Astyanax mexicanus: one gene and its partners. The protein of the gene in region 3 purifies or fractionates together with the protein of the main gene of each other region. This does not show direct contact. Links are inferred from orthologs where the notes say so. Each region holds a gene or a part of one and is shown on either strand. Other genes may lie near its edges. The genes, in order: kif20a, anapc7, mad2l1 and anapc1.

Region 1 (7,209 bases), on a different chromosome or scaffold from region 3:
CAGGAGAGAAATCTGTGTAAATTAACATCCAGTGCTTGTTTGACTTGAAAATATATTTTTTTAAGAATTACAGTTTTGTTTACTTAGAATTAGAAGGGAAACATGACGACACCCTTGTTCCTTACTATTGTCGCGTAAATGCACCTTATATTCTGGTGCACCAAATTATAATACACCAGCAAATAGACGTTCATTGATAGTGCGCCTTAGAATTAGGAGCTCTATAGGTGCCCTCATAACGTGATGAATCATATTTGATAGTAAAAGACAAAGTAAATAGTTGTCAACCGATTTCCATTATTGATATTTAATTTATTCAAAGCTGTAACCGTGATCCTGCTGCAGTGTGTGAGGAGGTAATGCAGCAAGGTTTCGTTGAAGTTGTAAAGCTAGATTTTGTAAATGTTTGTTTTCTTTCTTCCTTAGAGTGGAACATAGAGGGAAGATCTGGATGAAACCAGGACTAAAAAAATGTAAGTTCCACACATCCACATATAGCATTTTGTTTGTTTGTTATTTTCTAATCTTGTATTATTTGTGTGTACAGATGCCTGCGCACTCACACTGGACCAAAACACAATACACCCTTGTCTTACTCTGTCTGAGGGAAACAGAAAGGCGAAGAGGTCTTGGGAGTATCAGATGTATCCAGAACATCCAGACAGATTTGACAACATCAAACAGGTTCTTAGTGTGGAGAGTCTGACTGGACGCTGCTACTGGGAGGCTGAGTGGGATGGGAGGGGGGCGGCTATGACTGTGTCGTATAAAGGAATAGCAAGGAAAGACTTTGGATTGAAAAGTCTTTTTGGGGCCTGGAATCAGTCCTGGAGTCTGGAGGGGTTTATTAATGCTGATTACGCTCTTTGGCACAATTGTCATCTTACTCCCATATCCACACCTCCGTCCCCCTCTCACAGAATGGGAGTGTTTCTGGACTGGGCGGCGGGTACACTGTCCTTCTACAACATCTCACCCAGCTCAGACACACCCATCCACATACACACCATACACCACACATTCACTGAACCAGTACATGCTGGATTCAGGCTTCGCTCCAATTCCTCAGTTTGTCTGTGTAATATAGATTAGCCATTATCAACACTGTGAGCTAGAATCAGACCCAAGTCACTGCTCAACCTTGATTTAACACCAGTTTTCATTAAAGCTTTTTGCAAATTTGTAATATTGTGAAAGAAAATGTTAATTAATCAGTGCGTGTATCAGTGGTGGTAGCTCATGGTGCTTTTTTAAAGAATTTGAACCTTTGCCTAGCTCTGAGTTTGGTAGTTTTAATAGCACTTTGTTAGCTGTACACAGCTGCAACTCAGTGAGAGTCAGTGAGTGGAATAAGTGAGTTAATCAAGGCTTAAGTCTGTGGCTGCACAGTAATCCTTTCACAAACCTTGTTTTTTATTTCATGTTTCATGTACTTCTTGGCTTCACTAAATATATGCCTACTGACAAAGCAAGTCAAACCTGTTCTCAGATCAGGCAAACCCAACGACAAGACAAGACAGCCTTGGTTACCATATTTGTGTAGGATATACCGATGGAATGTGGCCTCCAAATTAAAGCGCCAGAATGCTCTTATTGCGCATAAACTCCAATCTATCCACAGTTATCAATATAAGCGTCTGCCAAATGTAATATAATATAATATAGGCTGCTTTTCTGTTTTCGTATGTCTATGATGTTCATTTAATCTCCAAAATCTTCAAATCAATAAACTGCAATATTGCCAGTCCAATCATTTTTGTGTCCAGTGTTTTAAATAGCATTTAGTGTGCTAAAAAGCAGCGGTGCAATGCAGTCTAAGGGCGTTTTCACACCTAAAGTTCGTTTCTCTGGTCCGAATCAGTTAATGAGTTTGTTTACTTGGAGCGTTTTCTCGCTCTGTTCGGTCTGGCTTCACATAGGCATAAATGTAAACACACCGAAATGCACATCAATAAACCACGCGAGCAGCCTGTGTCCTCTGATTGGTCAGAGCTGTCTGACACGGGAGTATGTTAAATATAAATATACGAAAAAAGTAAAGACAGCGAGAAGATTTTGTGTTCCAGCGCAAATATCTGTGCTTTAACAATGAACGCTGAAACACTGCACTTTCAAACACAGTGTTTCTCCGTGCAGCGCAGATTTATACATAATAAACAGAGTCACGCGGCTGCGAGCAGTGAATGCAGCGCAGACGGCGCGTGCATGGACAGTGTTTGTTCACAGCTGTGGTAATCAGCGTTATCTGGCTAATATATCAGTTTAAACTGTGCTTGCTTTATCAGAAGTTTAGCTCAAATAAATGGCTTATATTTAATAGCTGGATCCGATCGAGACCGGATCACATTCTCACCACAAGCGAACCGCTCCAGAGTTCGTTTGGCTAGCTGGTCTCGGTCCGGTTCTTTTGATCCGCACCCGAGTGCGATTACTGTTTTCACACCTGCTCAATCGAACCGCACTAAAGTTACAAACAGACCAGAGTTCGTTTTAACCGGACCAAATAGTGCTGCTGTGAAAACGCTCTATGTAGTCAACTTTAGACTGTGCTGTCTCTGCACTACTACCTTGTAGTAGTTCAAGACTTATAGTCTATTATTTTACACAAACGTTTCTGCATGCCTACATTGATTTTGGTGATGTAAGGCTTGAATGCCGCTGCTTGGACATTGACACCTATTTCAGGAAGCGCTCTACTGTTCTTGAGAGAATCTTGAGGTCTTCATGCAGTTTTCATGCAGTAAATTTTACAACTTTGTGCACAGATGGGATCCTATAATGATGATGATTTGGATGGGTGAGCATATACTTTTGGTAAAATAGTGTATGTAGTGATTTAACACTCCTCTAGAGACTAGCCTGTACTGGCTGAAGAACCGTCTGTACTGACTAGTGACTGATCTGGAGACTTGCCTGTACTGACATGACAACTTCACTTTAGACCTGCTTGTACTGACTTGAGACCTGTCTTGAGATATTCCTGAACTGACCTTGAACCTGATGTGTCTTTGCTTACTCTGCACTTAACTTACACTGGCTTACAAATGTCATTTTTCTGTGCAAAGCAGACACCTTGTGTTGACAATGGCTGTTAATTGTTAATTTCTCTGCACTCTGAGGCATCTAGGTTGGCCACATATATACCAGTTGTGACAGTAGAACCATATCCAACATAAATTTCATGAAAAAAATATATCTTGCGGCCAGCTCCACGGGGTGGTAGACTTATTGTTTATTGCTTATATTTTCACTTGTATTTTACACATTTTGTCGGTTGAATGTTGAATTTAATATGGTACATCCATTCCCCATTCCTGCATTTCAGACCTGAAACACACAATAAAAATTGTATTAAAGCATTTTGTTGCCATTCCTTCTGCCAACAAAAATATGATGATCCCAATCAGTTACATTTTAAGGTGCTGTATTATTGTCATTGTTACATTTCTTTTAAATTGTAAAAACACTTTTTTTTTATTGGGAACAGGAAAGAACTGCAGTAAGGCCAGCCATGTACCTGTACCTTGCTTTGTAAAGTACCTTTGTGACCCTGGGTACTTCCTTTTTCTTACAGCACTTATGTTGGAGTTTTTCCTTGTTGCTGCTACTCACTGGAAGGGTTTATATGGAAGGGTTTATATTTTAAGTTTTATTTCTTCTGTCCTGGTACCACATTTTTGGAAAAGAGCTATAGAAATAAAACAGATTTGATGATTTATTCTAATCTTCTGTATTGTTTTACAGATAAACCCACTTATTGATCACTGGAATTATGTTTATTTTGGTATATTCTAATGTTATATATTGTTAGTTACAGAAAAAAACACTGACCACAGACTTTATGATTTTACTTTCATGGGTTTCATTTCATTCTGTTTTCACCTTTAAGGTTCTAGTGCGCTTTGTTGTTGTTGTTTACGCCGGTTTGGAGCTGCTGCGTTTTATTTGTCCACCAGAAATATCCAGAAAAGGAACCTAATTTCCCAATCCACCTTAAATGGTGCTGCTGTCACATGTAGTTTATTCCATTTAAGGTGGAATGGAACATTTTACATCTGCAGTACTGTTACTGGATTTCGTTGGTTAAATTCAAACCGTCACTGTGCTGCTCACCAATCAGCATCTGCGGCGGCCGCCCCTGCGCTTCTGATTGGCTGAGGTCGGCGCACAGGGATAGGCGGAGGGGGCTCAGCGCGATGTTTGAATACGTTGGTGAGAGTCGGTCGGGAGGCAGCGAGAGGTTCAGTAACTACAGTAGTGAGGTTAGCTTTCAGTAGTTTAACACAGCAGAGATAAAGATAGGTATAAGGAAGAGGTTTAGCAGTCAGGTCCGCGGGTATTTTGGCCGAAGAACTACAGATTAAGAACAGCAAAGGTAAGAATAAGCCCAAATCTTGATGTATAACGTTAAATACACGAGGAACAGCAGTCTGGGCTAGCTTTAGCATTAGCTAGATAGCAGTGTTTATGTAAACTCAGCGAAGTAAAGTAGTTAAACCTGACAAATAAACAGACACAACTATTGCTTGGCTGATTTAGAAACAATAATAATAGCTAACCAATCTATCTTAACTAGTTAAAGTAACTAACGCTAGCTAACTAGGTTACTAACTAACGAAAGTGACTACTGATCGGTTGGACGGTTTAACCCACAGTAGGAGAGTAATTTCTGTTTTTAGTCACTTTTCCTCTCTGCACAAACACATGAGGCTATATGTATTATTTAAAGCTCGCTAACAGGTTTCAGTGTTAGTCACTGTACTTATTAAAAATGTTACCAACGTCTAACAAGTACAGAAAACAATGACGCTTCTAATTTGCATGTCTTAAGTGTGACGAGGCTGAAGTTGGTTTGATATTCGCAGCTCCAGATTCGTTTGGCTCGATATTCGCAGCCTCGTATTCCCCGGCTGAAGTTGGTTTGATATTCGCAGCTGCCGCTACACTGAACCACCGTGAACTAAAGGGAGCGTTCACAAACACCCGCTGTTTATATTAAACACCTCACAGATCAACACTGAAGGAGATAGAATGAAGAAAAGCAGTACATCTGTTTATTAACAATGTAAATATACAATATATTATTAAATGTAATTTTGTATATTGTAAAATATTTGTTTTAATTACTGAATTTATAATTATATATTACAATAAATAATTAAATATATATTTAATAAAATTATATTTTAAAAGCCATTGCGCTCAAAAAAATGAGGCAGATGTTCAAGTGTGATTTTGAAGAACTTTTTCATGTTGGGCCAGACCAAATACACATGATCTGAAGAGTACTACTCTTCTTCTTTAAGGAAAACCTGGAATTAGCCTGGCCCAAGCTGATTTTATACTTTAAAATTAACTGGCAACATGGAATACCGATCCATAATGCACAATTTTTTTATGTAAAGCTGATGTTCCAGTGTGATTTTGAAGGACTTTTTCATATTGGGCCAGACCAAATACACATGATCTAAAGAGTACTAGTCTTCTACTTTAGGGAAAGCCTGGAATTAGCCTGGCCCAAGGTGATTTTATACTTTAAAATTAACTGGCAACATGGCATACCGATCCATAAGGCAGAAAAAAGTTTAATTTAAAGCTGAAGTTCTAGTGTGATTTTGAAGGACTTTTTAATCTTGGGCCAGACCAAATACACATGATCTGAAGAGTACTAGTCTTCTTCTTTAAGGAAAACCTGGAATTAGCCTGGCCCAAGCTGATTTTATACTTTAAAATTAACTGGCAACATGGCCTACCGATCCATAATGCACAAAAAAATTGAATATAAAGCTGATGTTCTAGTGTGATTTTGAAGGACTTTTTAATCTTGGGCCAGACCAAATACACATGATCTAAAGAGTACTAGTCTTCTACTTTAAGGAAAACCTGGAAATAGCCTGGCCCAAGCTGATTTTATACTTTAAAATGAACTGGCAACATGGAATACCGATCCATAATGCACAATTTTTTTTATGTAAAGCTGATGTTCTAGTGTGATTTTGAAGGACTTTTTAATCTTGGGCCAGACCAAATAGACATGATCTAAAGAGTACTAGTCTTCTACTTTAAGACAAACCTGGAATTAGCCTGGCCCAAGCTGATTTTATACTTTAAAATGAATTGGCAACATGGTATAACGAGCCATTTTGCACAAAAAAGCCACTGTTCCAGTACAATTTTGAAGATTTTTTTAATCTTGGGCCAGAACAAATACACATGATCTGAAGAGAACTAGTCTTCTACTTTAAGGAAAACCTGGAAATAGCCTGGCCCAAGCTGATTTTATACTTTAAAATTAACTGGCAATATGGAATACCGATCCATAATGCACAATTTTTCTTTATGTAAAGCTGATGTTCCAGTGTGATTTTGAAGGGCTTTATCATCTTGGGCCAGACCAAATACACTTGATCTGAAGAGTACTAGTCTTCTACTTTAAGGAAAACCTGGAATTAGCCTGGCCCAAGCTGATTTTATACTTTAAAATGAACTGGCAACATGGAATACCGATCCATAAAGCACAATTTTTTTATGTAAAGCTGATGTTCTAGTGTGATTTTGAAGGACTTTTTCATCTTGGGCCAGAACAAATACACATGATCTAAAGAGTACTAGTCTTCTACTTTAGGGAAAGCCTGGAATTAGCCTGGCCCGAGCTGATTTTATACTTTAAAATGAACTGGCACATGGCATACCGATCCATAAGGCACAAAAAAGTTTAATTTAAAGCTGATGTTCTAGTGTGATTTTGAAGGACCTTTTAATCTTGGGCCAGACCAAATACACATGATCTGAAGAGTACTAGTCTTCTACTTTAAGAAAAACCTGGAATTAGCCTGGCCCAAGCTGATTTTATACTTTAAAATGAACTGGCAACATGGAATAACGATCCATAATGCACAAAGAAATTGAATATAAAGCTGATGTTCTAGTGTGATTTTGAAGGACTTTTTAATCTTGGGCCAGAACAAATACACATGATCTGAAGAGAACTAGTCTTCTCCTTTAAGGAAAACCTGGAATTAGCCTGGCCCGAGCTGATTTTATACTTTAAAATGAACTGGCAACATAGCATACCGATCCATAATGCACAATATTTTTTATGTAAAGCTGATGTTCCAGTGTGATTTTGAAGGACTTTTTCATATTGGGCCAGACCAAATACACATGATCTGAAGAGTACTAGTCTTCTACTTTGAGAAAATTTTGGGA
Region 2 (7,645 bases), on a different chromosome or scaffold from region 3:
TACTCAAACATAAACCTATAAATAGTAAAATCAGAGAAACTGATTCAGAAACTGTATATTCAGTATAGAAACCTGATCTTTAATCAAATCTAATTCGTGTTTTATTGTTTTTGTCTATTGCAGGCATTATGACCTCAAACACAATGATGACATCGTGTCCTTCTTCAACGACTTCAGTGATCATCTGGCGGAGGAGGCGTTATGGGAGCTCTCACTGAAGATCAAGCCTCGCAACATCACCCGCCGCAAAACAGAGCGCGAGGAGAAGACATAGGGGTTCCTTCTCCTCCAGCAGAACTCTGGGTAAAGAAAGGCTGTGTGGACGGAAACCACGAGAAGAAACGGTTGGGGCGACGGCGGCGTGACGGCAGCTACGAGACTGGGACGGGGGAGCAGGACTGCATTTCCGCTACAGTTTACAGGACAAATTTGCTTTTTTATATATATAATATATCTCGGGATTGCACTGCATCTCGACCTGTGTAAATGTTGGAGTGAGGGAGACCTCAGAGAGCAAAGATTCTGGGTCAAGATCCTCCTTCTCTGGGTCTGGATCCTCTTCTAAAGGGAGAACCTTCTCCTCTGGGTTCGAGATCCTCATCTGCTGGGCCTGGATCCTTCTACTCTATGGTTGAGATCCTCTTCTTGGTCGAGATCCTCCCCCTTCCTCTGGGTGGAGATCCTTCTCTGGGTCGAGAACCTCCTTCTTTGGGTCGAGATCCTCCTCCTCAGGGTTCAAGACCCTCATCTGGGTGGAGACCCTCATCTGGGTGGAGACCCTCATCTGGGTGGAGACCTCCTCTTCTGCGTCGAGGTCCTCCTCCTCCTTTGGGTCGAGATCCTCCTCCTCCTCTGGGTCGAGATCCTCCTCCTCCTCTGGGTCGAGAACCTCCTCCTCCTCCGGGTCGAGAACCTCCTCCTCCTCTGGGTCGAGAACCTCCTCCTCCTCCTCTGGGTCGAGAACCTCCTCCTCCTCCTCTGGGTCGAGAACCTCCTCCTCCTCTGGGTCGAGAACCTCCTCCTCCTCTGGGTCGAGAACCTCCTCCTCCTCTGGGTCGAGAACCTCCTCTGCCTCCGGGTCGAGATCTTCCTCCTCTGGGTCGAGAACCTCCTCTGTTAACAAGATTTATGTTGGACGTTTTAATGAGGAACTCGATGCGATAAGACTTCTTCATCTGGACATGCTGTTATGACTCTTTTCTCAGGCTCTGTGGACACACTGTCTCTAGAGCGCCCCCTGCCTGTGACACAGTGACATCAGTTTCTGTGGAAATAAATGGCTTTGAATTGTGAAGACGTCAAAAACAAGAAGTTTGAACAATAAACGTGGAGTTTTTTATACATGGAACAATACGTGGAAAACAATGCACATGGACGACTGTTTACTAAGAACTTTAGAAGTTTAGAAGGAGTGTTTTTATGAGTGTTTGTTTATTTACAGTCGCTGTTTTCACAGCTTTCAGCATTTGGCACTAGGTCTTGGTATCTGCAGGCAGTGGTTGTTACTTATTGTTATTATTATTAATAATAGTACTATTATTATTATTATTATGAACCAAATGCTTTCGATCATTTCAACCAGTTTAGCACTTTCCTGGGATTTTAACCAGGGCCTTTTCCTTATCATGGAGATTTCTGTTGCCCCTGTTGCTGAGATAACACCAGTTACCTGGACTGGTTTACCTGGATTACGCTGGTTTGCTGGTTTTGTCCTCTTTCTCTTGTCATTCTTCCTGTTCAATGTTGTGTGTATGAATGACCCATTGATGAAACACACCTCCAACCAAGTCTTCCAACCGTATTTATTAAAATTGCTTTTTTCAGGAAAAAGATTGTGTTTTTGAGTCGGTCCTCTGATGTAAAGTGTGTAGTTTAATGCCATTAAATATCCATCATAGCAAATGTACTGTAGAAACACATTCATATGATTGACTGTTTTATAAAGCTCTGGAAAAAATGAAGAGACCACTTTAGTTTCTGAATCAGTTTTTTTTAATGCATCTTGGCATCATGTTCTCCTCCACCAGTCTTACACACTGCTTTTGGATAACTTTATGCTGCTTTACTCCTGGTGTAAAAATTCAAGCAGTTCAGTTTGGTGGTTTGATGGTTTGTGATCATCCATCTTCCTCTTGATTATATTCCAGAGGTTTTTAATTTAGTAAAATCAAAGAAACTCATCATTTTAAGTGCTCTCTTCATTTTTTCCAGAGCTGTATATGTTGTATATGTATGTTACACTTCTGAAGTCCATTTTTTGTTATTTAACTACAACAGAGCTCACACACAACCTGATACCAAGTGCCTAAAGCTGTTGAACTGGTGGCGTGATTTGTGTTCTTTATTTTTATATAATATAAGTCTTCTCCTTTTGTTTATTGTGGTGGTGTTTTTTATACGGATTTTATATTAAGGACACTTTCGGAGAGATTTATTCTCCCTTTCTCTAAACGGTATGAAAGTGCTGGGATTAAATAGTGGTTACAACAAATAAATAAAAATGACCTAAGTAAGGTCTGAGTCTGAAACTAAATGAATAAAAGAATCGGTACAATGGCAGGAGACTAATTTGTTACTAGAAATGATGTTACAGTGCTGGTTTCCTTTCAAACAGGGCTTAGGCTTAGTCCTGAACTATATACAGCTTTGTAAAAAATAAAATAAAAATAAGAGAGCACTTAAAAATGATGAGTTTCTTTGATTTTACCAAATTGAAAACCTCTGGAATATAATCAAGAGGAAGATGGATGATCACAAACCACCAAACCACCAAACTGAACTGCTTGAAGCAGTGTGTAAGACTGGTGGAGGAGAAGAAGGAGAACATGATGCCAAGATGCATACAAAAAAACAATGTTCATTTTACTCAAACATAAACCTATAAATAGTAAAATCAGAGAAACTGATTCAGAAACTGATGTGATCTCTTCATTTTTTACAGAGCTTTATATTTTTCTGGTTAATGGAAAAAATTCATTCAAATGCTGTGTAGTTCAAGGTCCCAGTAAATAATCAATGCAACTGATGCACTATATGTTTAAAATTGTTGGGACACCTGTTTGTTTTATTGTTTTTACCTGAATCGAGGGTATTAAAATTTAGTTTATACTGCTTTTGCTGGACTAACTGTCTCGGGAAGACGTTCTAATTTGATGGATGATCACCACCATATGTCTGACTATATGATATCACAATAATAATACATTGTCCACAATAACAATGATTTCACAATACTGTGTTTCTGCGATACTCAGTACATTGCAATACAATTCTCTATGATACTTCACAGCATCTGTGTTACTGAATAGGAAAAAATACTCCTAAAAATAAGTAAATACCGGGAATTATGGATTTTTTGGTGTTTCAGTTTCACAGAATTTCACAACCAGTATTCTTCACACAGGATTATTAACCCTATTCATTTGATTATAGCTCCACCATGTGGAATTAAGAAGTAATGATGACTTTAGGAACTGGAGGGGGCAAGTGAAAGTAAAAATAAAAAAGTGTTCATTTAAGTTAGTGTGTGTGTGGTGTAGTGGATAACACCACCACCTGCCAATGAGCTACCATGTGGAAGACTCGGGTTCAATTCCAGGTTTGGGTAACTGAATGCTGCGCTACACTAATGGGAGTCTTGCCCAAGGACTCTTATTGGCCCAAATCCGTAATAGAATTAACCTTGTTAAGCTCTATCCGGATGGGATTAGTTTCTCAGGGGGACGTCTGTGAAAAATATTTCAAAACTCCTGCACCTGTACTGCAATTGAAAAAACAGGAGGATCAGTGAGTTTTTAGGCTAAATTACCCAGAACCTCCTGAGAAACTAATTCCGTCCAGATAGGGCTTAAGTCGCTCTAGATAAGAGCATCAGCTAAATGCCATAAATGTAATGTATTATACATGTAATAAGTTTCGATAAAAAAAAAATATTTTTCTGCAAATATTTGAAATATTTGACCTCACATATTCATATTGTATCCTTTTTAAAAATTATATAAATGAAAGCATGGCTGAAAAGAAGGAGTAAACAGAGTTTATACTGCCGGCTGGAGGTGAGTACACACATACACAGCTCTGGAAAATATAAGAGAGCACTTATAAATGATGAGTTTCTTTGATTTTACCAAATTAAAAACCTCTGGAATAAAATCAAGAGGAAGATGGATGATCACAAACCATCAAACCACCAAACTGAACTGCTTGAATTTTTACACCAGGAGTAAAGCAGCATAAAGTTATCCAAAAGCAGTGTGTAAGACTGGTGGAGGAGAACATGATGCCAAGATGTATGATTTAAAAACTGATTAAAAACCACCACGGTTATTCCACCAAATATTGATTTCTGAACTCTTAAAACTTTATGAATATGAACTTGTTTTCTTTGCATTATTTTTTTTATGTCCGCAAATAAATGCTCTAAATTACAATATTTTTACTGATTCAGAAACGGAAGTGAAGGGGTCTCAATGTATCATTATTATTATTATTATTATTATTATTATTATTATTATTAATAATAATATTATAAACACGTGCAATAAGCTATGAGCTACATGTAAATAAATAATGTAAGTTATATTAAACACTGGGCTACCAGACTGTGGGGACTTTTATTTTGAAATGTAACTGCGCAACACTTCCCTTCCATTTTGAAATTGTCGCTTTTGATCTGCGTTGTGTTTCTCAGCGCTGCGGATTAAACTCTGATTATTTCTGATCAGTTTTATCAGTTTTATCAGTTAATCAGCTGAAGATGAGTGTTATTGATTATGTTCGGGACATGGCGGCCGCCGGCCTTTACTCTAATGTCCGGATCCTGAGCAGCCTTCTGCTGACCATGAGCTCCAACAACCCGTGAGTACAAATACCCAAATACCTAAATAATATTAATATCACCTTAATCTAACTAACTAACTAACTAAATAAATAACTAATTAACTAACTATACTAAATAAATAACTAACCTGCTGCTGACCATGAGCGCCAACAACCCGTGAGTACAAATACCCAAATATCTATCTAAATTACAAAATAACTCAATAACTAAATACATAAATACCTACATAACTAAGTATATAACTAACTAACTAACTAACTAACCTGCTGCTGACCATGAGCTCCAACATCCCGTGAGTACAAATTACCAAATACCTCAATAAATAACTAAATACTTAAATAACTAAATTAAATACCTAAATATCTGCTGACCATGAGCTCCAACAACCCGAAAGTCTGAACTTACCTTAAACTAAATAACTAACTACATAACTAACTAACTAACTAACTACATAACCCATGGGTGTTACCTCACCTCAACCTAAATAACTAACTAAATACATACCTAAATAACCAGATACCCGAATACTAATCTACCTGTTCATCACCTGTTATGTAGTACACCAGTGACGACTTTCTTCTTCAGGACATTTTAAACTGTTGTTCTGACTATGTCTGATATTTGTGTGATGGTTCTTAATTTGTGTTTCTTCATCTTCTCTCAGCTTCATAGTTGGTAGTTTTTCACCCATATAGACAATCTCTGTTTTGTGTTTGAAACTGAATGTAGATATTCAGGTATCAGAACACGGTTCTGTTTTCTGAACTGTATCAGATCTAGATGTAAATATCTGTAAATGTAATATAATAAAATGTAATGTTCTTGTTCCTACAGGGAGCTCTTTTCTCCGGCTCAGAAGTATCAGCTGCTGGTGTATCACGCTGATTCCATCTTCCATGATAAGGAGTACAGAAACGCAGCCTGCAAATACAACATGGCCCTGCAGCAGAAGAAAGTGCTGAGCAAAGCCTCTAAAGTGAGACCGTCCAGCAGCGGCGGCTCGTCCTCCGTACAGACTCAGGTCAGACCTCAGCTCCCGTAGTGATGTAATGATACACTGCTTTATTTAACATACTGAGACTTTTTTATATTGAGTATCTGATAAAATTAAGGAAAAGGACATTTTTGGTTTCAAAATTCTATACCAAAAGGCCACCAAACTAAATGTCTGATGCTTGTATGTGTGTGATGTACCCGTCTACTCTTGCCTGATTGGTTAGATCCAATGTGGCCGCTATTGCTCATTTGAATAAAGTTGATCTCTATGAAAAGTGAAAATGAACCTGATGTAAGAATATAAAAAAAAAATAAAAAAAAGAAAAGTACAGTTAAAAAAAGGAGGCTTTAATGGAAAAAAAATATTTTATAGATTATGATATACACCTAAAAATGAAAATATAGAACTGACAAAGTGTGTCCATTATTTTTTGTAAAAAAAAAAAAAAAAAAAAAAAGTACTCCGGTGCTCCTGTTTCAGGCTGTTTTAGTTCAGTGGAGGAGTGGGCGAGGAAGAAAGGTAGCATTTTCAGCTTTTATTTATGAGTATATTCATTCCATGCAAATGCCTTGCCTCTGATTGGCTAACAAGGCCATGAATCCTTAGTTACAGGTTGATGTCAGTCCGGGGGCTTTTCCCAATTCACTTGTTTTTCTATTTGTTTGTTTTTTTTTAATCGGTTAATGCAGACAATAAGAGTAGAAGAACAGTTTCATGTTTAACTCAGTGACCTACTGTATTTTAAAAAAGATCAATTACTACGTGCTTTCTAGTGAAATTAAATCTTTAAGTATTTAATGTGTTTATTAATATTTTACAGAATTTGCCCTCAGAGATTGAGGTGAAGTATAAGATAGCGGAGTGCTACACCATTCTGAAGCTGGATAAAGACGCTATCTCCGTGCTGGATGGGATTCCCTCCAGGCAGAGAACCCCCAAGGTGTCTTCTCTTTCTATTGATCTCTGATTGGTTGTTTTTTTGTGAGAGTGATTTCTATTTGTATATTTAATCTGATCCCAACAGATTAACATGATGCTGGCGAATCTGTACCGGAAGGCGGGTCAGGAGCGCTCAGCTGTTACGAGCTACAAGGAGGTTCTGCGTCAGTGTCCTCTCGCTCTCGATGCCATTATTGGTGAGTAATATTGCTAATAAAATATTAACACTAATTTATACAAATTTAAGCCAAAAAAATGGATTGATTTTGAGAAATGTTACTAAGAAAAGTTTGCGTCTCTGTGCTTCTCTCTCTGCTTCTTTCTTTGTCTCTCTGTTCATCTTTATTTGTGTCTCTCTTTGCGTCTCTCTGTTTGTCTCTCTCTTTTCGTCTCTCTCTTCATCTTCCTTTGCTTCTCTCTGTGTTCCTGTCTCTGTGCTTCTGTTTGTCTCTCTGTTCGTCTCTCTGTTCGTCATTATTTGCGTCTTTCTGTTTGTCTCTGTGCGTCTCTCTGTTTGTCTCTGTGCGTCTCTCTGTTTGTCTCTGTGCGTCTTTCTGTTTGTCTCTGTGCATCTCTCTGTTTGTCTCTATGCTTCACTCTGTTTTTCTCTGTGTGTCTCTCTGTTTGTCTCTGTGCGTCTCTCTGTTTGTCTCTATGCGTCTCTCTGTTTGTCTCTATGCTTCACTCTGTTTGTCTCTGTGCGTCTCTCTGTTTGTCTCTGTGCGTCTCTCTGTTTGTCTCTCATTATTTGCATCTTTCTGTGTGACTCTGTTAATCTGTTCGTCTTTCTTTGTGTCTCTATGTGCGTCTCTCTCTGTTTGTCTCTCTCTGTGCGTCTCTGTGCTTGTCTCTGTGTTTGCAGGGCTGCT
Region 3 (7,351 bases):
AGACTTCCGACCCTGAAGGGCTCTGGTGTTGATTGGATTTAAACATTTGACCTCTTTTGACTCCTGGAACCCCCCTTTTGACTGGGTTTACATTACCCAGTTTTCAGAGACAGACTGTTTATTTTTGGTTTTATTAGTAATTACTTTACAGGCGATTTTTTACTTCTACCCCTTACATTTTCACACAATTATTTGAACTTTCTACTCCTTTAAAACTCCATTTTAAAAACAGCCTTGTTACTCCTGCCATTTCAGCTTGTTTTGGTTCCGGCTTTTCATCGCTCAAAAAAAAAAAAACTCTCAGATGAATCTCTCCATTCAGATAAAGCAAATCTGATTGTGGTTGGATGAGAAGAATAAACATATACCATTCTGACACCCTATTGGTTCATGCAAAATTCATCCATATGCACGTCATGTCACTCCAGCAAGTTTATAGATTTTTTTGGTTTCTACTGCATGTTTGTATCAATTTTCAAACAATATTTTACAGTGACATAGTCTTAAAATGAAAAAAAAAAAACAGTTTAAAAGAATATCATTATCAGAAAAATACCATTAAATATTGTGACATTATTTTAGGTCAATATCGTCCACCACTATCTCAGCTTCTTTTGTATTTTAATTTGTATATTATTTTAATCTTATGCAGTTTATATGCATGCACTACACATATTGCTTTTTGAGTTAAGTTTGTTCTTTATGTTTTAATTTTAGTTAATGCCGTTTATTTGCAAGCACTACATTTATTGTTTTTTAGTTTAGTTTTCTTTTTGTCTTTTATTTGAATATTATTTTAATTTTTGCAGTTTATGTACATGCACTGCAGTTAGTTTGCATTTTATATTTTATTTGCATTTATTTTATTTTTATGCACTGCATATTTTGCTCTTTAGTTTTGTGGTCGATTTTTTTTGTTTCACAATAAACATTTAAAAAATATTTTGCTGTAGAATATAATTGAAATATTTGAAAAGTAATATACTTGTAAGTATTAAAGCATTTTTCAATAATATTTTTATTAGAAAAATAAAAAATATAATATTGTGATATTATTTAAGGGCAATGTCTTCCACTACTAATTTATCTCCTTTACTATTTGTAGTAGGCCTAACTTTTTTATTAGAGCAGAATGAATATTATGTACTGCATGGCCATAATCATATCAAAACTTCAAGACAGAGAGACAGACAGACAGCACGCCAGACAGACAGACAGACAGACAGACAGATAGCCAGACAGATGCTGCTGACTTACAGTAGGCCAGCAGAGCGCTGGAGAAATCCCCCTGAATTTCTTTCCTCAGTGATTCCCTCCTGCTGCTGCTGCTGGATCTCACATACTTTCTCTATGCAGTAATTGCACTCTTGGCTACTTATAGGCCAAAAACTCACTCTTTTCAGATCCCCACACTGAAAGACTTCTCCACTTGCATTTTGTGGCAACTTCACAGGTTTGCATGACAAACACGACATAATTAAATAAATCATGGAAAAATGTACCAGGGAAACTTTATGCCTGACATCAACCTTGGCAGGTGAGCCTTCATTGCATGGTGATGATGCACACTTTATGGAATTCTGTATGGAAAGGGGAAATCTGAATAATTCCATGCAGACTGTACAAAGTCTGTCGTATGGGAACAGACCTGCATAAGAAATTGTACAGTGATTGGAATCAGAAAAAAAAACATTTGTGATTTAGTGCATAATTAGTTTTAATCTCACTCATCTGCATCAGTTTACATTTCCTCCAAAATGAGTTCATGCTGACAGCTTGATTAAAATGTGTTCTTGATGAGACATGGATAGCAAAATTCAGGATTCAGTAACAATAAAATGAGTGATGAGTGAGTGACTGCTGCTGTGGAAGCACAGTCCCTGCCTACTATCAGCTTGTCGGCCTAAACTTCCACTCGCAAGCATTGTGAAAGCCAACTCCAACCCCAGTCATTACACTAATCTTTTCTTCTGTTTTGTCAAGTTATTTTGAATTTATTTTGTCCCTGTTGTAACTCTGTCTGCACTTAAGTCCTCCCTGGTGGAGGTTTCCATTAGGGAGTTAAGAATAAATGTAGCAGCAATCCCGAGATAAGTACCATCCTTTATTTTGCTTGCTGCTCTGTTACATAATATGTTTGTAAATAAAATATAGACATCAGAATTAATATGAAAAATAAAATAATACATGAAGTAGAGCAGGAAAGATCAACACAAAGGGCCCTTTTTCAGTGCAGATTGATTTAGGGAGTGTGAGTATGTTTTCACTATTATAACGATGGCAAAAGGCTTATATTAACTCCCTTAATCATAGGTATGTTTGGGCATAAAGTGCAATGAACAAATCTGTCTGCCTGCCACGGACTGTACTGCTCTCACAAAAAAACTCCATTTCCCAGGATACACCTGCCTCTAACCTCCCGGATGTTCCTGACCACGTGACGCCTCATGTGATTTCCCCTGTATATATAGCCCCTGTACTTTTGACCACTGTTTCCTATCCCTTTGTTTTGTTAGTCTTCTCATTGCAGACCTATTTTTGTATTATGACTACCCTTTTGCCCTTCTACTCATTATTGAATATACTGTGTATGACCTCCTTGCATACATACTCTGGTATGTTGCTTGTCTCTGCTGCCCTTTTGTTATTGACCTTGCCTGTCCCTGTCCATTCCCGTAAGCTTAGCACTTTTTAAATAAACTGTGCTTTTGGTATCTGCGTGTGTCTGTCGTGTGTTGCCCTCAAAGAGCCAGGTGTGATATAATCGTAACCTACATCTCTATTTAAATGACGCAGATGGAAGGTGTGAAAATAGACCCCTTAATGGGGTGCAAGATAACAATGAGCATTATATGACAAGGCTTGTGCACAGTGTATACATTTTAGTCAAAAAAACTAAGACTAAATCCAAATCACCTGTCAAAATTACCACTGCTAGACTACCAGCACAGGGTATTTTTTTTTCTGGATAACTATCTACAATGTAGAAAATAAATTAAATAAAGAAATAGAGAAAAACAGTAAAGAAAAATAAAGAAAAACATGAACTAAATTAAACTTTTGATTGGTACTATACATGTTTATTTAAATAGGATATTTGTTACAATAATAACAATACATTATTAAATTATTACTGTATTATTGTAATGTTATTGGTTATGACACTCAATTAAAATCAAATAGTTACAAATAAAAATGTATGTACTACATAGTATATAATTACAATGTAGAAATATATGAAACAATTTTATTTAACACTAAATACAAAATTACTACAAAAAACTCTCCTAGAAACGAAAAAGTTTAACTAAAAAATGCCATCAATTAACCCTTTCAGACCCTGCATCTATTTACAATGGAGCTGTTGTTCATTAGAATAGACCATGAATGAACCAGCCAATTAACAAGTTTATAAACCAATGAAACAGTAGCTTAGCCCCGCCCACTGAACTGGAAAAACAGTAGTACTAGTAGTAGCCATTGATTAGTAACAGTTTACTAATTTAATGTGATTTAGAACATTTAAATTTTTATTTTGCTGTTTGAGTAAGGTTTATGAAATAAAAAGGTAAATAAAAAATATATCTAAAACATTACACACAGACTTCCAATGCAATGGAAAAAAAAATAGTTAATAGGATTTATTTGCTATATAACTACATTTTATAGTAGAATATTATAGTCTTTTTTCTGTGCATTACAGATAGAAAACCGCATTCTTAAATATCTTTTCTTCACTGGAGATAATTTAGGTCTGAAATGGTCAGTGTAACGTTTATTAGTTTAATTGTCTGACAATTTAATGCTAAATTCGAAAATAGACAATTGAGGGTAAAACTCATTTTTTTTATTCTTACAATTTGGTGTAGTACAGAAGAATTGGGTTTAAATCAATTTTTCCAATTTTCTATTTTTTAATTTCTGCACCTACCAATTAAAATTTCAGGGAAAATGAAAAAAATGTATATATTTCTCTTTTTTTTTTCCCTTTTGTAACAGAGTTGCATTATAAACCATCAGATTTCAAGATACAAAAATGGAAAAATCTAAAAAAGAAAAAGAATCTAGAATCTAAAAAAGGCAGACATGATTGGAAAAGATTGGAAAAAAAAAACAACAAAAAATTCTTCTTCACCAAAGTAAATACAATAAATAAATAAATAAATAAATAAATAATTAATTAAGTTTTATACTTAATTTTCTATGTTTCTATGCTCTATTTTCTATGAAACAGTCAGAAAATTGAAGTGATAAGACGTTATGGATCAACAGAGCGGCTCTTCAGCGCTGACGCTGTGCGTAATGGCGTCATCAGCGTTGCGCTGTGTGTTTTGATGGTGCGCATGCGCGCCAGTTCAAACGCGCTCTGAATTCAAACTGAGCGGCGGGTGAAACACAGAGAGCAGCGCTGCTGAGAGAAACAATCGCGGCAGAGCCATGTCCAAAACACTGCAGGGAATCACGCTGAAAGGCAGCGCCGAGCTCGTGGCGGAGTTTTTCTGTAAGTCGAGCCGTTATTGTGTCCGTTTGTTTGAGAGAACCGGGGATGAACCGTCTTTAAACTGTAAACTGGCTGCGTGTGTAACGTTAGATAGACAAGGTTAGCTAACAGTTAGCTTAGCTTAGTTTAGCTAACATTAACTAGCGTTAAAATAGCTCCACCACGACTCCGTTTAATTTATATACAGTAATTCCGCTGGACACTAGTTAACCTACATTTAGTTGGTCGGTAAAACACTGAGAAGCCTCTTTTTTGTCGTGGTGAAACGTGTTTTTAACGGAGTCTAAACTGGCGGAGGGCGTGTTTAATTGTGCAAACCTTTTAACGTTAACGTGGGTTCGGTTGTCAGTGTTTTAGCACGACAGCAGTCGCGAGTTAACATAGCTAGTTAGTTGTATAGTTTTATGACAAGGTTCCCCGTACAGTTGTCTGTTAGCTAACTAGCTAACTAGATTACATTACACTTGTGGTCATGTGTCGAAAAGCCCCAGTTTCGTCATTATTTATAAATAAATGGCTGATCCTCCTCTGCATGGCCTGCTGTACAACCACAGCTAACACCACATACTGCTTTAGACAAAGTAATGATCATTTAAAAAGTTACTAAATTACTTAAGTCTGACTGATTTAAAGTATATATTTGTTCACTGTGTGTTTTTTTATACAGCGTTTGGGATCAACAGTATCCTGTACCAGAGAGGAATTTATCCTGCAGAGACTTTCTCCAGAGTCACACAGTATGATATGAGTCTTCAGCTCACTACAGACCCCAAGCTAAAGACCTACCTTACCAACGTTGTGACACAGCTCAAAGGTAGACTCACTGTTCACACTACTACTACTGCATTAAAAAATAGAACATTATTGAAATGTTACTTTATTTGAGTAATTCAGTTCAAAATGTAATACTCATAATAATAAAGGTGGAAAATAAAAATCTACATCTCCATAAAAGTTGTTAGCATTGGAAAGCATGTAGTGCTGTACGATTTTCCTGAAAAAACACCTGAACCTGATTTATCACAGTGGACCAACACCAGCAAATGACATGTCTCTCCAAACCATCCCTGATTGTGAAAACTTCACACTAGACCTCAAGCAGCTTGGACTGTGTGCCTCTTCACTGGTTTGGGTGGTTTGGAGAGTCTGCTGGTGTTGCTCCACTGTTTTATCAAGTCCGAAATCATTTCAGTGTTTTCCCGAAAACCATACAGCACTCCAGCTGGACTTGGCACACTTCTTACACTGCCAAAAGCATCAATTGGTCTTTATTTAATATTCTAAGTTTCTGGGATACTGATTTTTAATTTTTTAATTATTAACACTAAGAATAAACTCTTAAAAAATATCACTCTGTGTGTAATACATGTATATAATGAGTTTCACATTTTTAGCTAAAATACTGAAATGAAGTAACTTTTTAATTATATGCACTTTAAAATGCAACCACATAATATAGTAAATCCATAATATCTGTATCACCGTGCCACATGGAATGTCTTCCATATAACCCTAGATACAAGTAATAATCTTTGTATCTATCTATCTCTATCTATCTCTCTATCTATCTATCTAATAAAAATCTGAATTTTTCAAAGGTATGTGATTCTCAATAACAATTTCACAATAACTTCAGTTTATAAACAAACAGCACTATTTAAAGTGCACAATGAATTATTGCTTTCACATTTACTTTCAACAATTAAATACCTATCCCATTTTGAAAATTGCATTAGAACAGTAATTTCATTAATCAAATTAATTTGATTAAACTCCCAGCCCAGATATCTTTTTCTTTTTTTCTTTTCTTCTTTGTATAGATACATTGTAGTTTTTAGTCCATTATCATCTTTTTATGTGGCATGACAACTGTTTCACTGCTAATTGTACTGTGTGTGTGTGTGTGTATATATATATATATATATATATATATATATATATATATATATATATATATATATATATATATATATATATATATATATATATATATATAATTGTAAATAAAATACACTCATATTATAATATTGTTTGATCTTTGCTTTTTATCAATAAACGACTGACCTGTTTTCCACAGAGTGGCTGTTTGATTGCACAGTTCAGAAGCTGGTGGTGGTGATCACATGCCTTGAGACAAATGAAGTCCTGGAGAGATGGCAGTTTGACATTGAATGCGACAAGACTGCAAAGGATAGCAGGTATTATTATATTTGAGGAAATGTCAGTAGATTTGTCCTTATATTATTTGAAGTATCTGCAGGTGAAAGTTTGTGCAGTTGTTAATCTGATCTGTGGTGTGTTGCGTATTTTAGTGCTCCCAGAGAAAAGTCTATAAAAGCCATCCAGGAAGAAATCCGTTCTGTCATCAGACAAATCACAGCCACTGTCACCTTCTTGCCTTTACTGGAAACTGCATGTAAGTATTCTACCTTCTCATTAACTATGTGTCATGAATTACGTTCTTTGTTTCTATTATATTTAACTTGTACTATGAAACATGGTGGTTGAAAGTATGCAAATGTTCCATGTTACATAGGATGGCAAATGTGTGTATGTATATGTATATATGTATGTATGTATGTATGTGTATATATATATATATATATATATATATATATATATATATATATATATATATATATATATATATATATATATATATATATATATATATATATTTTTTTTTTTTTTTTTTAGTTTTGGTAAAGTGTAGTGACAACTAGCTCTCAAACCAAAATTTAAACATAAATACAGGTTTGTGAGAGAGATCTGTATTACTACTACATGGGTTTATAGATATAGATTATTGGGTTTATAGATAGGTATTAGAGTAAAGTCAGTAACTTTACT
Region 4 (6,878 bases), on a different chromosome or scaffold from region 3:
ACATATATATATATATATATATACACACGTGGGTGTATATATATATATATATATATATATATATATATATATATATATATATATATATATATATATACGTATATATATATATATATATATATATACATACACGTGTGTATATATATATATATATATATATATATATATTGCACACTTTCTGCAAATCCTTCATTTCACCTTTCAAATTTCACTGTGTTTATCTGCTATATGACATATTTAACTGAAATTGCTAATGAATATAATGAAAAGTATCAGGGGTGCCCAAACTTTTTCATACCACTGTATTTAAAGCATGACTATATAGCAATTTTATATCTTAACTGCTAATAACAGTTTATTAGCTGCTAGCTATTTCAATTTGATTTTATTTCTTCTTCTCTGTAATCTTTGCAAATATTGTTTTAATTAAGAAAGATGCTTATTATTATTACTATTGTTCTTGTATTATTCTTGCTATTTATTGCTCTTATTATAAGGGAAATTACTCAAAAAAGTCTATGAATATTGGCAATACCTGCTGCACTAGACTGTCCACTGTAAAAGCTTTATACACATTGGATGCTTGACTCTTGCTCCCCCGACTCCAGATAACCATATGTCCTGCCACGTACAGCTCCTCTTCATATTCAGCTTCATCAGTTGTGATGGTGGAACCCTTCCTAAGCTGCCAAGATTCCTGAAAAGTAAAGAAAATTTTAAAACAATGGATACTGTCCAAATTTCACCCCTGCTAAAATGCACATCAAAGTATTTTGCAAGATTTTGATGGTTTTACAATATATCACGTTTTTATATTATTATTATATATAGTTATAATATATAATAATAATAATAATAATAATATATATATATATATATATATATTATAATATATAGTTATACACAAGTTTAATATCAAATAAAACTATATTATTATATAAAAGCCATTAGAGGCATTAAAGTATTTAAGCAGCTGCTTATTAGTTTATCACAATTTTACTTCTACTTTCAGTTCACTGTGCATTTTTATCCTTCAAGTTACAGTATTAATATATTTAAACAGGGCTTAAGTTACTCATATTGTAATCAGCAACAGCAGAAGCTCCAGTCAGGACAGTGTGCGACCTCACTGAGCGGTGTTAGCTTGTTATGCTAAATGGTTAGCCCTAGCTAGCGAGCTCTGCTAGGGTGCTTTTTTGCCGGCACTGTTCTACACAGCACCCTGCAGCGCCTCTAGCGGCATGGCGGCATGTGAAAAATGCATACCGGTTCTAAATTCCCCTCATGTATACTGTATACAATTCTGTCATTAATGTAACGTAGTCCACTCAAGCATATTGAGTACTTTACTGTAGCGTACTGTACTGTAGTCTAGTGCAGTGTACTTTGTCTACTGTAGTGTAGTTAAACAACCTGCATGCTGCTCTGTAATGTAGTGTACTCTGTAGTGTAGTGCAGTGTACTGTAGTCTACTGTAGTTAGGCAATCTGCATAGTTTACTGTACTGTAGTACTGTAGTGTAGTAAAGTGCACTGTACTGTAGTGCAGTGTCGTTAAGCAATATGTGTAATGTAGTGTGCTTAGAGTATTAAAGTTGTCTGTGGTGCAGTGGTGTACTGTTCTTTAGTGTAATGTAAGGTAGCGTACTGTCCTTTAGTGTAATGCAGTGTATTTCAGCACAGTGTTGTGTACTGTACTTTAGTGTAATGTAGTGTACTCCAGCACAGTGTTGTGTACTATACTTTAGTGTAATGTAGTGTACTCCAGTGCAGTGTTGTGTACTGTACTTTAGTGTAATATAGTGTACTCCAGTGCAGTGTTGTGTACTGTACTTTAGTGTAATATAGTGTACTCCAGCACAGTGTTGTGTACTGTACTTCAGTGTAATGTAGTGTACTCCAGCACAGTGTTGTGTACTGTACTTCAGTGTAATGTAGTGTACTCCAGCGCAGTGTTGTGTACTGTACTTTAGTGTAATGTAGTGTACTCCAGCAGTGTTGTGTACTGTACTTTAGTGTAATGTAGTGTACTCCAGCGCAGTGTTGTGTACTGTACTTTAGTGTAACACAGTGTACTCCAGCGCAGTGTTGTGTACTATACTTTAGTGTAATGTAGTGTACTCCAGCGCAGTGTTGTGTACTGTACTTTAGTGAAACACAGTGTACTCCAGCGCAGTGTTGTGTACTATACTTTAGTGTAATGTAGTCTACTCCAGCGCAGTGTTGTGTACTGTACTTTAGTGTAATATAGTGTACTCCAATGTAGTGTTGTGTACTGTACTTTAGCGTAACACAGTGTACTCCAGCGCAGTGTTGTGTACTGTACTTTATTGTAATGTAGTGTACTCCAGCGCAGTGTTGTGTACTATACTTTAGTGTAACACAGTGTACTCCAGCGCAGTGTTGTGTACTGTACTTTAGTGTACAGCCTACTGTAGTGTACCTTCTGGCGCTCCTGGAGGCTGACCTCCTGGAGGGACCCCACGAGTCCGGCCGCTCCATCCGAGGACCAGAGCTCTGAGGCGGGCTGCAGCTGGCGCAGCTGGAGGTTCACGGCGTTCGGGTGGTTCTTGCAGTGCTCACGACCGAACGGGACAAACGGCTGCAGTTCCCCGGCGGCTATCATTGCGGCTCTCTCTTCATACACGTTCGACATGAGTTCCCAGTATCAGCATTATTTCTCCCACAGACATTAAAACAGCAGCGGCGGACCTCAGCGGCTCTACGCGCCCGGCCTCACAGCGGCAGCGGGCTAGGCTAAGTTGGGCTAGGCTAAGCTAAGCTAAGCTAGCATTAGCAGCGGAGCTACCAAACCATTTTCTTCAGCAAGCCCGCTAATAAACAACAGTCCGGCTCCTCTCTCTGAGCTCCCTCCTCTTCTCCAGCCGGGTCTCCCGCCGTTGCAGCGCGCGGAGAGTGAAGCACAGGGCGCAAACTGTCTAAAACCACCGCTAAACTGCAGCAAACCAGTAAACACACATTTTCAAACGCACGCGGACATCTTGCTTTCCCGTGATACTCGCGCTGCGAGTGCGGCCAATCACAGCGTCCGCCGCAGTCCCGCTGATCTCAACACGAGCCTCACGGTGATAGCGCATATTATATAAATCAGATATTCCTAAACACATGATTTATATATCTACAGATCCACACAGCGACCAGAAACACATTCTACTCCTGTTACTTTTCTCTTCTTCACACAACCGGTGATAGCTAACTAACTGATCAATATCTCCTCAACAGGTACAGTAACGTTACCACCCAAAAGTTTGGACACGCATTAAATTCAGTGTTTTTTTCTGTATTTTAAAATGTTCTGCATTGTAGATTTATAGTAAAGTCACTAAAACTATGAAGTAAAACATCTGGAATTATCTAGTAAACAATGAAATGTCAAACAAACCAGAATATGTTTTGTATTTTAGATCTTGCAAACTAGAACCTTTTGCTTAGATGACAGCTTTGCACATCTTGGCATTTTCTCAGTGACCTAGCTGGCACTGAGGTTGAAATATGGTGGAAGAAATGTCTGTTGTTGCTTCAACAGACGTTAAATGGTAGTGCAAATGTTGAATTTTTAACGTTGACTTAACATAATGTCCTCAACCTTCTGCCTTTTCAATTAACATTTTTCATTTAATCAGCATACAGTTTTAAAAAATGGTTAAATATAGGGATGAAAAAGTGTTTTTACTTACATTTGCAGTAATTGCTTTTTAATTTGCCACCAATTATTCACCGTATTTGGAGGTATGTTCATGTTCTATTTGTTTTACTGTTGTGTTTTTGAGATTAAATGTTGAATCAGATTGGTAAACATTCTTTTATACCCAGCTTTAGCACAGTGATGTAAGTTTATTGTGAACACTGTTAACAATATGATTTTCTAGTTTTAGCTACTTGTAGTAATTGCTACTTCTCATAGATGTATATCCAGAGAGAGGGAGAATAAAAATAAAATTGTTAATTTTTCATCATGGCATACAGTTTTTTTCCCTTTCATACAACTTTGAGCATCCCGAATGTGAGCTATGGTTTATCTAAGGTTGAACATATGACGTTGAAACAACGTTGCCATATCAACATTGATTCACTTTGCAAAATCAACACCATATCAACACCATGATTCAACATCAACATGGATTCAATGTTGAAATGTCAGCTGGGTAGCTTTTTGAGGTAGTCACCTGGAATGGCTTTCACTTAACAGCTTAATGAAACTGGCTATCATTAGGATCGCTCAAGAAAAGGAAGACCAAGAATAACCATCAGATAGCAGAGTATTTTGTTTTTTTTCTACAAGTTTACTACATGATTATTTATGTGTTCCTTTATCTGGATGACCTAAGAAAAAAATAAAAACATTAAATACAAATGTGTACCAAAACTTTTGACTGGTACAATCACTGAACATGGATGTCACAGCAATGGTGAGCATTTTTAAGGAATACTTGCAACTGTTATTGCTCTGGCACACAATACGTGTACAATATCTTTAATAATAAAAACATACTTTGGTGCACATGTTTGAATTATGTGAGTTTTCTAATCAACACAAGATTAAAAGTAAAAAATATAAATACACCTACCTAGCAACCAGGCTGGCGTGAGTTAGCTGCAATGCTAACAGCTGGCCACTTTGTCTGGGTCTCAAAAAAGCTGTTTATCCCCCTCAGGTAAAAGGAAATGGGTTTGAATAAGTAGAATAAGCATGGTGATGTGGCACCTTTCTTTGGGACAGCTGTGCTGCTAATTTAAAAGTGTATGGAATTTTGAAGAAAGAGGACTACCTCCAGGTTCTTCTGAATAACCTTAGATTATCAGCTAGACTGGTGGAAACAGGATACAATTGGATGTTTCAACAATACTATTATCCCAAACACACATGAAAAGTGGTTGTGGAGAGAATTAATCAGACTTTAATATTAAGCTTTTAGAATGGCCTTTCCGAAGAGCCACATCTCAACTCTGCACTGTTGTTCCTTCAGGCTCACACACAGTATTACTATGTAATCAGTTACCTTGTTTTAACAGCAACCACAGAAGAGGTTGATCTACAACAGGTCAGAAAAACCATGAATAACCCTGTGGACCAGCACAGGATTTATGGTTAGTAAGTCACAGTTTAGCCCTTGAGTGATACTTAATGAGTGTCAGTGGGCTTTGAGACAGCTGCAAATTGATCTCTAAAGCAATTTAGTATATAACATGTTCTTTAATTGCAATACAGGGTGTTATTCATGCATGTGTGTGTGAAAAAGAGAGAGAGAGTATGATTTGGTTGTGCTCAGATCAGTCTGCGTCACTGAGTGATATAGCAGGTGTCTGAGGGGACGAAGAAGAGTCACGATTCCTCAGTTTAAGTAAAAATCCGTTTTGGTTCTCCCAGTCCAGAAACAGCAGGGCAGCAGTGAACAGCATGATGACTCAGGGTGCGGAAATGTTCTGTCAATTAAATCTGACCTTGTTTATTTTTATCAGGTCTCTTATTATTACGTATTTTGTACTTTATGTTTGATGTGCCTGATGAAAAATCCAATGTAAGTCTAGCAAGTGGCTGACCACCAGTCAGATCGAGTGTCTCAGCCCTCGGTAGGCAGAAGCAGTTTCTCAATGCACAAGTACACAAGTCTGGACTCCCGTACTTGGCAAGTACAGACTTTGGAAGATCAACTCGCAAGTGCGTACTTTCGAGGACAGGAGGAAGCAGGACGGTTGTTGTGTAATTGGAACAGCTGTGTACTTGATGACGTCAACCCTTAGAGGAGCGGAAAGCGTTGTTCCAAAAATGTAGGAGCAAATTTTCACCTCGCAGCTTTCTTAATAAATAAACTACATATCTACATACAAATCTAAACCCCTACATTCTCACCTAAAAATAACTTAAAACATTATTTAGCACACAGCAGTACTATTTTAAAAACGTAGAGGTGCTTTCAGTTATGTACCTTCTCCTCCGCCAATACGCTGATACTCCTGCGAGGTGCATTCTGGGATATCGGGCTGTGAGAAGTGCTAACAAGTCACCTTCCATGCATCCTAGATAGAGTGGTAGGAGCAAGAACACATCCGAGTATTTGTTGTGTACTTGGCTAACTGCGATCTTTTAATTGGAACAGTACTTGGGCTGCGACTGATGACATTTCACGAGTCCACAAGAAAAGAACACAAGCACAGACAAGAATGCAGATTGAGAAACGGTCAGAGATTAGTGTGGCATAGTGGCTTAGTGTTTAAAATGTTTTACTCCCAGTGTTGGGGTCTTGGGTTCAACTCCCTTTCTGGGTGGAGTTTCTGTGCTCTGCCACTCTGGTCTGCTCTGTCTTGCCTTGATGCTAGCTTTGTTTCTTTGCTTTTTTTTACTTCTCAGCTTCTACATTTATCTCTGTTTTCTTCTACTTTGCTCATCACACTTATCAATCCACTTTTAACTCTGGACTGTTGGAGGAAATTTTATTAGGAAAATCTATTTATATAGCGTTTTTTACACCTAATACCTTACACCTTTGTACTCAAAGAAGATTTCCCAACACTTCAGTGACAGCAGAGACACACAGAACCTGTGGCAGGGTATCCAGTCTATCACAGGCTATAAACCACATCCACAGACCTGCGACAGCGACACATCTCTGCTGAACGACCTGAATGGGTTCTTCGCAAGGTTCGAGCCACTCAACAACACACCCGCCCAGAAATCCATCCTTCCTCCTGGTGACCAGGTGCTGACGCTGTCCCCAGACAGTGTGAGGAGAGCATTCAGCAGGATCAATGCTCGGAAAGCTCCTGGGCCTGACAACATTCCTGGCCGTGTGCTGAGAGACTGTGCCTGGGAACTCGCAGAGGTTTATACTGACATTTATAACACCTCTCTGAGTCAGG

Evidence for each region.
Region 1: the proteins of mad2l1 (region 3) and kif20a purify together in Homo sapiens (affinity purification with mass spectrometry; 4 studies listed by BioGRID and IntAct, with this or other methods). This does not show direct contact. The link is inferred for Astyanax mexicanus from reciprocal best matches to the Homo sapiens genes MAD2L1 and KIF20A.
Region 2: the proteins of mad2l1 (region 3) and anapc7 purify together in Homo sapiens (affinity purification with mass spectrometry; 3 studies listed by BioGRID and IntAct, with this or other methods). This does not show direct contact. The link is inferred for Astyanax mexicanus from reciprocal best matches to the Homo sapiens genes MAD2L1 and ANAPC7.
Region 4: the proteins of mad2l1 (region 3) and anapc1 purify together in Homo sapiens (affinity purification with mass spectrometry; 3 studies listed by BioGRID and IntAct, with this or other methods). This does not show direct contact. The link is inferred for Astyanax mexicanus from reciprocal best matches to the Homo sapiens genes MAD2L1 and ANAPC1.

What each region holds. Positions count from the first base shown.
Region 1 is NC_064424.1:33,418,481-33,425,689, forward strand, and holds the start of kif20a (kinesin-like protein KIF20A), read left to right. Parts: upstream 1-4,194; 5' UTR 4,195-4,375; intron 4,376-7,209. UniProt on the Homo sapiens protein: Mitotic kinesin required for chromosome passenger complex (CPC)-mediated cytokinesis. Following phosphorylation by PLK1, involved in recruitment of PLK1 to the central spindle. Interacts with guanosine triphosphate (GTP)-bound forms of RAB6A and RAB6B.
Region 2 is NC_064419.1:1,302,017-1,309,661, reverse strand, and holds the start of anapc7 (anaphase-promoting complex subunit 7), read left to right. Parts: upstream 1-4,638; 5' UTR 4,639-4,756; coding exon 4,757-4,857; intron 4,858-5,674; coding exon 5,675-5,861; intron 5,862-6,657; coding exon 6,658-6,777; intron 6,778-6,861; coding exon 6,862-6,973; intron 6,974-7,638; coding exon 7,639-7,645. Other genes in the region: rapgef1a (rap guanine nucleotide exchange factor 1), read left to right, coding at 124-274; proline-rich protein HaeIII subfamily 1-like, read left to right, coding at 628-889, 992-1,164. UniProt on the Homo sapiens protein: Component of the anaphase promoting complex/cyclosome (APC/C), a cell cycle-regulated E3 ubiquitin ligase that controls progression through mitosis and the G1 phase of the cell cycle.
Region 3 is NC_064415.1:32,658,453-32,665,803, reverse strand, and holds the start of mad2l1 (mitotic spindle assembly checkpoint protein MAD2A), read left to right. Parts: upstream 1-4,342; 5' UTR 4,343-4,437; coding exon 4,438-4,501; intron 4,502-5,168; coding exon 5,169-5,315; intron 5,316-6,578; coding exon 6,579-6,699; intron 6,700-6,813; coding exon 6,814-6,917; intron 6,918-7,351. UniProt on the Homo sapiens protein: Component of the spindle-assembly checkpoint that prevents the onset of anaphase until all chromosomes are properly aligned at the metaphase plate.
Region 4 is NC_064414.1:12,396,201-12,403,078, reverse strand, and holds the start of anapc1 (anaphase-promoting complex subunit 1), read right to left. Parts: upstream 3,027-6,878; 5' UTR 2,656-3,026; coding exon 2,443-2,655; intron 698-2,442; coding exon 536-697; intron 1-535. UniProt on the Homo sapiens protein: Component of the anaphase promoting complex/cyclosome (APC/C), a cell cycle-regulated E3 ubiquitin ligase that controls progression through mitosis and the G1 phase of the cell cycle.